2 linked regions of the Arabidopsis thaliana genome follow. The protein of the gene in region 2 binds, or shares a complex with, the protein of the main gene of each other region. Each region holds a gene or a part of one and is shown on either strand. Other genes may lie near its edges.

The links.
Region 1: CIPK16 (region 2) and CBL2 share a complex: the UniProt entries of both Arabidopsis thaliana proteins name them as parts of the K(+)-channel calcium-sensing kinase/phosphatase complex.

What each region holds. Positions count from the first base shown.
Region 1 is NC_003076.8:22,669,397-22,675,669, reverse strand, and holds CBL2 (calcineurin B-like protein 2), read right to left. Parts: upstream 4,558-6,273; 5' UTR 4,125-4,557; intron 3,656-4,124; 5' UTR 3,599-3,655; intron 3,518-3,598; 5' UTR 3,482-3,517; coding exon 3,358-3,481; intron 3,222-3,357; coding exon 3,139-3,221; intron 3,041-3,138; coding exon 2,981-3,040; intron 2,885-2,980; coding exon 2,776-2,884; intron 2,701-2,775; coding exon 2,648-2,700; intron 2,554-2,647; coding exon 2,473-2,553; intron 2,396-2,472; coding exon 2,283-2,395; intron 2,149-2,282; coding exon 2,091-2,148; 3' UTR 2,040-2,090; exon of another isoform or gene 1,815-2,039; intron 1,757-1,814; 3' UTR 1,570-1,756; downstream 1-1,569. Other genes in the region: AT5G55980 (serine-rich protein-like protein), read right to left, coding at 5,028-5,369. UniProt on the Arabidopsis thaliana protein: Acts as a calcium sensor. CBL proteins interact with CIPK serine-threonine protein kinases. Binding of a CBL protein to the regulatory NAF domain of a CIPK protein lead to the activation of the kinase in a calcium-dependent manner.
Region 2 is NC_003071.7:10,668,806-10,675,483, forward strand, and holds CIPK16 (CBL-interacting protein kinase 16), read right to left. Parts: upstream 4,088-6,678; 5' UTR 3,806-4,087; coding exon 3,105-3,805; intron 2,446-3,104; coding exon 1,737-2,445; 3' UTR 1,605-1,736; downstream 1-1,604. Other genes in the region: GPX1 (glutathione peroxidase 1), read left to right, coding at 70-131, 550-668, 741-908, 994-1,023. UniProt on the Arabidopsis thaliana protein: CIPK serine-threonine protein kinases interact with CBL proteins. Binding of a CBL protein to the regulatory NAF domain of CIPK protein lead to the activation of the kinase in a calcium-dependent manner.

The DNA.
Region 1 (6,273 bases), on a different chromosome or scaffold from region 2:
TCCTATGAGGAGATTTTAGTTATTTGTGTGAGCATAGTTATGAAAACATGTAGACAATAATTGAAACCCAAATGTAAAAGGTCCAAATTTAAAGTTTTTGTGGTTTAAAGCATAAAATTGATTTTCAAACAATATTCATGTAAAAAATAATGTATAAAAAATAAAAACTAAATCATATTAATGAAATATTCTTATTGAAAGAGAAAAAAGCTGAAGAGAGTGCGTGAAGTATGGTTGTTGGGTTGAGTTGGCTTTTAGAAGCATTATTTGATCTTGAAGTTGAGTTTGTGTCTAGTATGGCTGAAGATAAGATGAAGAGTAAAAACTGTTTTTTCAAAATGAAAAGTGTTTGGTAGTATATATTTCTTGGAGAAAGAGATAGTCTACATAGAGCGTGAAGAACTTTTAGAAGAAGTTTCTTATTTCAGTCTTGTAAAGAAAAACAAGAAGAATGGTCTTCCATCTCGTTTATATGATTTATTTTTTATACGCTAAAAATATGATTGATCATGTGTTTTATTCAATTTTAAAAGCACATTAACATTAATCAATCATTAATAGATCTAATGTGCTTGATGTTTTAGTTGGTCTTATAAATTAATTTCACCGATAAATGAATTTTTTTTTCTCCGGCGAGATAAAACATTACATGGTGAGGCTTCAAGCTAAAGTTGGCTTCATTACATCTAACAATTTCGACATTTTTATGTACGAAACTTGTAGTTATATCAAGCTTAGTTTCTTTGAATTTTAACTATCGTTTCCAAGGCAAATCTCTCATATTTTTTAACCATAGAAAAATAATCTTTTATACTCTTTTTATTCTTTCAAACCAATTAATCTTTTTTCTATGAGGAGATTTTAGTTATTTGTGTGAATATAGTTATGAAAACATGTAGACAATAATTGAAACCTAAATGTGAAAGGTCCAAACTTAAACTTTTTTGTGGTTTAAAGCATAAAATTAATTTTCAAAAATATATATGTCAAAATGATGTATATAAAATAAAAACTAAATCATATTAATGAAATATTCCTTTGAAAGATAAAAAAGCTGAAGAGACGGCATGAAGTATGGCTATTGAGTTGAGTTGGCTTTAGAAGCACTGTTTGATCTTGAAGTTGAGTTTGCGTCTAGTATGGCCGAAGATAAGATGAAGAGTAAAAGTTGCTTTTTCTAAATGAAAAGCGCTCCTTGGAGAAAGAGATAGTCTACATGGAGCGTGAAGAACTTTTAGAAGAGGTTTCTTATTTCAGTCTTGTGTAGCAAAACAAGAAGAATGGTCTTCCTTCTCCTCAAGAAAGAACATGGAAGTCATTGAAGCATAAATGAGTCATTCTTCCATTGCCTTACTACAAACACAATGTTCCCCTCATCTACAATGGATGGGAAACTTGATTGGCAAGTCACTTCCTTTTGTATTAATGTAGGGTTCTTGGTGAGGGAAAATCGCTAATTCTTCAATTAGGTTTTTTTTCCCTTTTCTCACCTCTTCTTCTTTTTGGAAGAACATTATTCATGTCTCTGCTTCTCAACCATCCCCCGAAGCTCTGCTTTCGTATACCCTTGTTGGTAAGATCATCTCCTCTTCTCTCTAATGGCGTCTCATCGAAGATCCACTTTTTGTCATCATGTAAGTTGATTCTTGTGGAGCTGATCTCGGAAAACTCGTCATTAGGAGGGCTGGTGACATCACTCAGTTTTGACTAGTTTTGCTTACAAGTCACATATGAAATGACTAGTTTTGCTTGCAATCTAGAAATCCATTGAATTAATATTAAAAGCTAACTCTAATAACCAAAACACAGAGATTGAAGCAAATCTTTTTAATTGGATTAATAAATAAACTGAAAAACTTTACATTACCATAACATCAAGATGCAAAAGTTGTATCTACAGATAGACCGAGCGAAATCAAAAAGGACAAAAACCAAACTAAAAAGAAGAATTTTGCTTCACAAAAAAAGCTCAATAAAAAATAAAATGAGTTCAGAGATTTAGAAATGTAACAAATAAAGAACCATAACGAAAGAACAACCTTCAACAATACAATGATGTCTTGCCGCTGCTTGCTTTTGCTTTTGCTTTTTCAGGTATCTTCAACCTGAGAATGGAACACAAAGCTTGGAAACGTAGTCGTGATATCCCTGCAGAGCAAGCACACAACAGGATCACGACCTTTATTACATATCATGGAGAATAGAAGAAAGAGAAACCAGAGAAGGAATTTGGTTGAATAGATTCAATCCTGGTTATATAAATAGAAAGATTTGGAACTCACTTGAGATATTGAAGAGTCATGTTCTTCAGAAGGCTGGGATGTCTAAGAACAAGGCTTCTCCACTCTTCCTTATCGATCTTTCCATCGTGTTTTGTGTCTGCTTCCTCAAACGTCTGAAACATTCAAAACTCGGGAAATTACTTTCAAAGAAAAAATATAGGGTGAAGAGGAAAAAAAGTAAGTAACTTACCTTGTCGATTATATCCTCAATGACAGTATCCTTCAAATTCATTCCAGATTCAGCAAGCGTAGCGACAACCATTTGTTTCACCTGGACAAATGATGGACGAAAATGTCAGTGAGGATAATAAAGCGCACTTCTACAAGGTTATATATGAAGCTATTTGAAGATATGGAAGCTTTACCTCTTGCCGTTCGATAAACCCTTGCTGTTTAAGATCATATAGCTGAAATGAAACTGCAAAAAAATAGTATATATCATTAATGTGTTATCCCAATCTTGTTTTTGAGATACAAGCTAAAAGGGACGTACAGTGAATTTTGTCATCTATAGGCGCATTTGGGTGAAAGACGGAGAGAGCACGAGCAAATTCCTCAAACCCCAGTATTCCATTGTGCTTTGTATCAAACAAATCGAAAACCTAGAAACAAAATCACATATTTCAGCATTTCTTCTAAACTTGATCTTGACAAAAATGGGTTTAAGAACACTTATAATGTGAAGAAAGAAACATTACCCGATCTGCAAACAAACTCTCTTTTTTATTTGTCTTAAACAAAGCCAACTGAAACTCTTCCTGATACAAACAAGAGATGAGTAAATTAGACAGATTGTTAGATCAATCACTAAAGCTTTACCAAATGAGGAAGAAGATCAAACAAGTTAGAGTTATACCTTGTTTATTAGCCCATCATCAATCACGGCACTGCTGATTTTCTTAAAAAGCTCATAAAGAGCTTCTATTTCACTCACACTAACTGCATTCCAAAACCAAATTCAATCATCAATAGTCTTCAGAAGAAATATTTTTGCATTCCTCAAATGGTATTGCATCGAATCTTATAACCGGAAAAAAAAAAAAAAAAAAAGAGTAGAGAAGGTGATAGGGCATACAAACAGTGTCTCTTGCAAGCAATTCAGGATCTCCAAGGCCACCAGATTGTTTATACAAATCAAGATCAAAACACCCTAAAACAGAGGTGCATAAATGCTTGATACCGTCAACGCACTGCGACATGATATATCTTAAGCAGCAAATCAAAACTCTCCATGCCTGCATATAAAACATTGTGAACTTGTTTTGCTAATTTCAAAAAACAGCTCTACAGAAGCAAGCATATGAAGAACACTGTACCTTTCAACCATTTCCTAGTGTTTTTTGCTGAGAAAGGATGAGACTTTGCGAGAGTATCTGTAACACAAGTTGCAAAATTCAGAGTAATCTAAATAAGTCAGTCAATATAGGCAACACAAACATTGCTTAGAAACTGAAGTCATTATCATGATTTTACTATTCAGATGATTCAGTTATGTCCACATAATATATACAATATTGAAGAAGATAAGAAAATTAATGGAGAATCTAAAGACTTAATCAAAGCTCATTAACCAAATTTTAATCTTAAACATCACAATTTATGGACACACAAAATTAATAAAATCCATCAGAAACAAACCCAAATTGGGAAATTTGAATTTATACATTAATGAACTCAAGGATTACACAATCAATTACAGGTTCTGAGAAACAAAACCCGATCTAGATCCCCAAAAATCGTCCTAATGGATTCGTGAATCGCAGATTCAACAGAGATAGAAGAATCTTGATATGTAAGTGAACTCAAAATGAGTAGAATGGATTTGCGTATACGAAAATTTACCGATTACGTTGATTCTCAATCTCAAGTCGGCTCTGGTTGTTGAAGCTGAGCGAGGAAGACGGAGACGATTTGTTGTAAAGCAGAGGAGAGAGTTGGAAAACAAATTAAAACCTGAAGAATCTTTTTAAATATCTCAACAAACAACAAAAACTCAATCTTTTTGCATTATTACAAATTAAATCCTGAAAAATCTGCTCAAATCGTCGTCGTTTTATTCTTCAAAATACGGTTCGATTTGATTTTCGTTCCGGTTAAGTAAAACTCGAGCTGAATTGAACCGGACATAAATTTGAATTTCACATTCACCCATAGAATATATGATCTATTGTGCTATTGGAGAATTTAAGTTTTCAAAAAATCTTCAAATTAGTACATTTTTTACGATGTTAAATGCAAAATAATCATACAAAATCAAAGATAATATGTGATATAGCCATTTTTTTCTATTGTCAAATTTTAAATTTTTGACAAGTAACATATAAAATCGAACCTCCCGAAATGATAAGTTCAATTATATCTTCAGAAATTTTAAAAATAATGTGATCATCAAAACGTTTACAATATATATAAATTTGCAAAAATATATTATATTGCGTATTATTTCTGACTTCGTAAAATTATTTTATATTTTCTTTATATAAAATGTAGACAGAAAAATTCATTTCAAGTATTTTTGAAGCATATAAAATGTGTATGTAATAAATGCTTAAATTTGAATCAAATTGGTGAAAATTAGATAAAAGTTTACCTTGAATCGGGTTAAGCCGATTTCAAGCGGTTTAGTAATACAGACCAATGTCTTTTTCGATAAAAATTATTGAACAATGTCAAAAGAAGAAGTAGAAGAAACAAACAAATAACAAAACCGACAGTTATTATACCGAACAAATCCAGTAACCGGGTTTACTGAGCCTTGAGGGAGTCACTAAACCGGCTCGACTTGGACGACAATAAAACAGCGAGGTTCGACCCAATAGACCCGGCACGTGTCAACGAATCAACGCGGTGATACCTGCACCTGAAAGAACCGGCGTGTGTCGTCGGAGAACATAAACAATTTAGCCTCGTAGATTTACCGGAGGACGATCTCCAACGTTTTAAACTAGGTGAGTTATTGTCTTGGCTCTTCGATTCAACGGTAGAGCTACCGGAGGGTTTAGGGTTGATCTTGGCTAAACTTGTGGAATACTTTTCTTGTGCCTTAGGTTGTCCGAGATTTAGGGTTGAAGGGTTTTCTTTCGTCATGGTTTTGACGAACGTAAATAAGAATGAATTTGTGTTGTTGTTTCTTGCTAATGAATCAAAAGGTAATTTCTATAGTGACTTTTGTTATGAAGGTAAAGAATGATTTGTGTTGTTTCTTGCTAATGAATCCAAAAGGTCATTTATAATAGTGACTTGTGAGAGAAGGCAGCTAAAAATAGTCGTTGGATGTTGTTGACAAACTGCTTTTTTAAGTTATTGGTGGTTAGTATTCTAGAAAAGAGTTATTGTAAATTAGTAGAAAATATTTGACTTGGAGGTTTTATTCTTCTTTTTATGGTTTACACATTTTGTGCAAGGACAAATATTATGACTTTTCAACCAATTAGGAACATACTTAGTTGTGTTAGTGCCAATTGAGAATCTAGAACAGTCTAATTTAAAGATTCTGTAACCAAAAAAAAACATCTGATTGTTTTTGTTTGGTTTGTGCCTATTTTAGGTTTTGACAGACTCAAAGGCTTAAAATTCAAACTCTAAATTAAACACCCTAAGACTTACTTATATAGCTGAAGTCAAAACCATCTCAAAGACTCCAACTATTTAGATGCCATGTCCAAAACTTTTATACTTATGAGATATAGTTAATGCTATAAAAATATTTCTTTTAAGAAAACCGACATCCTAATTGATAGTTAATGAAGTAATGTTTGGGTTTTCAGTTTTAAATTGCAAAAAAAAAAATTGAACATATAAAAAAATATATACATCAAGATATGTAAATGAGACGAGAGAAAAAACAAAATATGTAGTATAAACACTATATTAAGATTCTATAAAGTTGTTGCCATTGTGATTTGCATCATCTACTCACAATGTACATAACGATTACTGGTGAGCTCTTTATGTACAAAAAATTTGACACTCACACAAGTAATCGACTTTG
Region 2 (6,678 bases):
TGATGTGTTTGATGACAGTTCATGTAGAGGTTTCTAATCTTAAAGATTGTGTGTTTTATGAACATACAGTGGTTTGACATCATCAAATTACTCAGAGCTTTCACATCTGTACGAGAAATACAAAACTCAAGGTGAGTTCTAATTAGTTCTCTCATATTGTGATCTATTCCGGTTTGCAACCAGTGGGTATTTTGGTTACTTACTGAAAATTCCTCGTGTTTTGGTGTTCACTTAATTGTTCTGTAGATCTTTATATTATTGTGGTGTCAATATGATTTGGTTCTATTGTTGCTTCTTCTACAGCGATGTTACTAGCTCGTAGTTCACTTTAATTTATGGAAATAAAATTGTTCTGTAACGTTGAACTGCAAGCAAATTCAGCATCTTTGTTTGATTGATGATAATCTCACTCATCCGTTCTCTGTAGCTAAAAGAATTTTCTCGAAAGTACGGATCTGTTCATTAATCATTTAGGAGGCAATAAGCCAATGAACGTGTATTTCTCATGCATTTGTAGTTAGTAATACTAGCTTGTTGTTTGGATTACAGGATTTGAGATTCTAGCTTTTCCCTGCAATCAGTTTGGTTTCCAAGAGCCCGGGTCAAACTCCGAGATCAAACAATTCGCTTGCACCCGGTTTAAAGCAGAGTTCCCTATATTTGATAAGGTATAAAGAATCCAAAACATTCATTCTTCTTATTTTCAGGTTGCAGATTCTAAATAAGTTTGAATTCGACAGGTTGACGTGAATGGACCAAGCACAGCGCCGATCTACGAGTTCTTGAAATCAAACGCAGGAGGATTCTTGGGTGGTCTCATTAAATGGAACTTTGAGAAGTTCTTGATTGATAAAAAGGGAAAGGTCGTTGAGAGGTACCCTCCCACCACATCCCCTTTCCAAATCGAGGTATGGCTAATGGACTACTTCCTATTTGGTTCATAGCGGTTCTATTCCCGGTTTGTAACCAAACCGTTTTGTTTCTGTTTTGCAGAAAGACATCCAGAAGTTGCTTGCCGCTTAAAAACTTTTGCTCATGAGTGAGCATATAGAGACTGATGGTTAAAGTAACCGTAAATTGTGACATAAAGTTTCCGGTTATTGCTTGTATACCTTCTTACATTCTAAGTTGTACTAATCGCTTAATAATTTGCGTATAATGGTAATGTTATATACATTATATTATAAAAATGGTGTTATATATACAATAAGACAATCTCGCTCGCGCACATCCAATCAACAACGATGGAGATGATATTACAAAAAAAAGCATTGAACCCTTCACCTCTTACATTTCAAAGTGTTTATTAAACTAGATTAGTTACAGTTCCTTATGTAAAAATTCAAATATTTATAGTTTAGTGGGTGCACCAACGTGAGTCCGCCCTACTTAATCTTATATACATTATTTTATTGAATTTGAAAAGTAATCCGCAATATAACCCTTGAACGTGTATAGATTTTGTAAACCGTATAAGTTTGTATATAGATTAACAAAACTACTTCGCTTTGAACACTTGAAAAAAAAAAAAAATGAGAAGTAGACTCGAACTAATGACCTATAGAACGTTCATAACATATATAACCAATTTTGCTTCAATAGTTTTTGACAATTGTACAAACCCTCCAAGTAATTTTTATTGTTAATCATAAAAAAAATGTTCTTATACATTTGCAATTTCACAATAAGACAGTCTCGCCTCGCACATCCAATTCCAAAAAGTGAATTATTACAGCTCATGAAACATTATTTATTTTGTTATCATTTGTGTCAACATTATCATTAGTGGTAACATCGTCTTCATCATCATCACCTTGCCATGACCATACAATGTCTTTAAGAGCTGGTCTGACGTCATCCTCACAGAAGAGGTAATACTCCAACGTATCCCCCGAGGTTTTGCAGAACTCCACGACAGAGACTTCAGGAGCGACTTCGAATACTTCCGCCGTCACCGAGAGCCTTCCTTTACGACCTTCTGTTCTTCTTTGCAGCTTCATCTTGCAGTCTTTTACATGTTTCACTCTCATATCCATCTCACGCGCCGCCGTCTCCAGCCTCTCTTTAACAGATTTCGCCGGGAACTTCGATGTGAACATCCGCTTTGGCTTTCGTTTTATCTCGAATAGGTTAGAGAGATCGAAACCTGAAGACATTGATGTGATGAATTGGAAGGCGTTGAAGGATCTTGGTGAAGCTCCGTCGTCTTCTTTCTCGTTTAGGTCTTTCTTCTTTTTCTTTGTTGGTGGCTCCGGTGGAGATGGGATCGTTTCGTCTATCGAAAAGGCTACTGATGGTGTAAAGTTCTTTCGGAACCATGGAATCATTTTGATCTCTGACATTGAAATTCTTTGTTCAGGATCCGGCACAAGCAATCTTGAGAGTAGTTCCTTGGATTCTAAGGAAAACCACGGTGGGAACTCGCATTCCGCCTTGAAGATCTTCCTGTTTATTTCGAAAGGTTCAATCAAACAAGAAACAACAATGAGAATTTGATCAATTCACATTCACATTCAACAATACTAATATTTGAATTTGTAAGAAGAGCACTATTTGAGACCGTTATTATTGGCGGGAGTTTTATAAATTATCTAGTAAAATACGGGACGTGAAATTTTGATAATATAGAACTATAATGAAATATACGATCGACCAACATTTATCGAATTTGATATCAGATTAATGTACCTAAAATACCACCCGAATATTCACAAATTGATAATAGTTTCAATATCTTGGAAAATATTGTATAATTTTGAGTAATTATTAAAATTTGAATTACGTGAACAAATAATTCAAATACTATATATCTTTTCTTTTTGTGTGTGTAAACTTTCAAATAGTATATCTTATATCCAAGTTTTGTATCTATTGGTACAAGTTAAACTGTCTCTTTCAAATAATATTTTATTTAACCAAAAATGATTATTATTTCTTTTTAACATATATAAGTATGTGATGTAAAATTGAGATGCATCTAGAAACCCAACTCAAAATGGACTACTTTGGCTTTTAGTTCAATATTTTTTTGTATCTCACTATTCGTCAAATAAATAACAAAAACAAATACGGTTTGGGCCAAAACCTGGTCAAGAAATACTTACGTGTACAATGTCATGACGTTTTCGTCGATAAACGGCAAGAAGCCAGCAAGGAGTGCATACAAAACAATCCCGCACGACCAAATATCAGCCATAGCTCCGTCGTATCCTTTATTCCGTAAAACCTCCGGCGCCACGTAAGCCGGTGTCCCGCACCGCGTATGTAAAAGATCATCGCTGCTACCACGCCTGCCACCTAGCCCTTCTGGCATCATCAATGCGGAAAGTCCGAAATCCGTTACCTTAAGATCACCTTCTCCGTCAAGCAACAGATTCTCGGGTTTAATATCGCGGTGGAAAACACCGCGGCTGTGGCAAAAATCCACCGCGGATATCAATTGTTGGAAATACTTTCTGGCTAGATCCTCCGGGAGCTTCCCATCTCTATCGATCATTTCGAAAAGCTCTCCGCCGTTGACGTACTCCATGACGAAGAAAATCTTCTTCTTTGTAGCCATTACTTCGCGGAGCTCGACCACGTTTGGATGACGGAGGAGACGCATGACGGCGATCTCTCGTTCGATTTGCTCCATCATGCCACGACGTTTGAAAACGTGGTCTTTTTTGATGACTTTGATTGCCACGTCATCGCCGGTGGAGATCTCTGTTCCGTGATACACTTTGGCGAAGTTACCGGTTCCGAGAAGTCTTCCGATGTTGTATTTGTCGAACAAGACAGTACTACTACGGTTTGATTCTTCCATTGTCTTTGTCTGACTAGTTACAAGTATATGTGAGACTAATTATGTGGAATTTTGTGATTTGGTTACATATCTATATATATAAGCAGAAATTATTTGTGGAATTTTTTTATTTATAATGTTGTCTACTTTGTTTGATATGTGACGACTAAGTGAACTGTGAAGAAATGTTCTAATCTTATCTAAACAAAGTGATGTGCCTAAGATCTGGCAGCTAGCATAATTAAATACGACCAAAGCCAAAAGAATAACCAAGACGAAATTGATTCGCGAATTGAACTAAATCGGGGTTTGCTATTTATGTTGAGTGCCTAAAAAAGGGTTATAGAACATGATAAAACTAGATATAATTAACAAACTAAAGCATGAAAAATAAATATCTCGAGTTACGATGCAATGATCATAAGAGAATGATTTCAATAAAAGTGTAACAGGTGATTTAAATCCATTTCTATGTAAATAAATCCTTTTTTTAACCAGTTAAACAATGGTCTCGCACATTTCTGACCATGTATTCATGTAAATAAGTTCTTAAAGTTTTCAGAATAGATTTTAAAAATATAAAAGTAACTCTCTTATCCTTATACAAAAATTGTGGACGCCATGAAATTGACGTGGAATCGCCGTTAATGCTACGCATGTTTTGAAGTAGATACGCATTAATTAAAAATAGTAAACTTGTCCCGATAAAATTTCAATGAACTGTCTTTTTTTGGTAAGGCAAGATGTGACCTTTTCTACTTGGCCCTTAAATATTTTTAAAACAATTTCTTGACTTATTTTTCATAGAGGAATTTTTAATTTCTTTCGAAAAGCTTTGACTCTTTTCCTAGTTGGGACGATTGTATCGGAAAGTGGTCATTTCTAATACGTCCGTGAATCTATCGACCAAATCTTCCTTTCTACATCTTTGCTAATTTCTTGGTTTGATGGATTCTTCATATTTTGCTACTCAAAACAACACACTCAATTTTTCCAATTGTTTTCTTACAATTTGATGATTTTTCTACATACATGAAAATCTCATTATAACCGTGTATTTGGGTGGGATACTGTTATTTTCCTCTATCATAATCAAAGGTACATCTTGTAAAGCTAAATCTAAATTTTAACAAAAAAAAAAGAAGCTAAATCTAAATTTGTTCGATTTAAAGATCAGGATTATTAAGATAATATATAACTAATCATTTTAAGGAACATGTATAACAAGTCCAAGAAACTTTGTGATGTGTCATGATTTGGACCCACGATTAATGACAACAATTATGTTTACACAAATGTTAATACTCTAACGAAATACTATAACGAGTTTTACCCAAAAAAAAAAAAAAAAAAAAAAAAAAAAATACTATAACGAGATATGTATTTAAAATTGAAGAGTAAAAGGGTAACATCACAAACATAGTACACTATTTTGTGGCTAATTGGGTGATCACAGACATATATCTACTTATCGCGCTGCATTTCCGATTGTTTGTTATTTTCGGGTGATTAGGTTGTCGAAACTAGCTGCTAAAACAAGCCATGCCGTGAATTTTGCATCACATTGATCAGTCAAATTTCAAGCAGTAGTTGATTGGAATATGCCCTAAAGAGTGAAAAGATTTGCAAATCCACCTAAATAAGCCATCGTTTGTGCTGCACATGGTTTAAATGTTGCATTACTTAATTAGAAAACAATTTGATCAAATGCATAGGAGTTCTACTTCGAACGAATCTAAAGATGTTACCTCATCTACCTTATGTTTTCCTGATGATAGAAGACCCCCTTACCTAAAAATGTTGTTCAAGGGTAAACAATAAATACATATATATACATGAGTGTGTGTGTGTGTACAAGCACGATTCATATTATATGTATGTTGCCAAAACCTTTGCTATTTGATGCACAATATGTGATGATGTAAACTTTATATATAAGTACAGAATGTTTGAATGGAGCTTAGACAATTTCTTGAACCAGAGAAAATAAAATAATAATTGGTGTTGTTGATAAAAACTCAACATGCCAAGAAAAACAGATTGCTGAAGTATGGATCTTCAAATTCTATCATTTACATAAATTAAAATGAGTGATCTTGCAAGGAAAAATGTGAAGAAAAATGGAAAATAAGAGTTCTTTGTAAGAAAGGGGAAGTTTTATTGAAATGAAAATATTGAAGACTTGGTAATAAAGAAGAATGCAAAAACCGTGAAGAATCCTACACAATTTTGTCTACTTCTTTTTTTTTTCTTTACTTCAAAAGTACAAAATTTTCTCTACTTTCTGTAGCTTCTCTTTTTGTTAGAAAGTTGATAAATCTTTGCAAAGGACGACTGTACTGGTCTGAAAGATCCATGTGACAGAACGAACTGTTAGATTAAAAATAATTACGCATTTACGAACTGTGTATTTGTGAAGATATATTTTGAAAGACACTTCGTTAACAATTTTGATTTCCTACATATATCTCCGTGACAATTCCCTAATCAATTAACACATTTCTTCGATCAGAGTTTGTCGTTTGCGTTTAGAATTGCATTTCCATGTTACAATATAATACACATTACTCTCATTTGAACATTCTTTATTAAAATGATGTACAAATGTGTTTGATTTTGCGTTTTATTTTAGAACTATCAATAGATTTGATGAGAAAGGAAAGTTTTTTTTTTTTTTTGAATATATGAAATGAAGCGAACTAATAAAGCTGGAACCAACAACTCTGAAATCATTAAAGTCAGAAACAAAGTTCACCAATATTCCATGTCTTCCAAATTTCCCAATCTCTTCAGAAATATCAGTATTGACTTCAATTAAAGCTACAAATATGTCTTAAAGATGCAATCATCTTAATCACAGAAAATACAAATATACACCAAGATACACATATTTG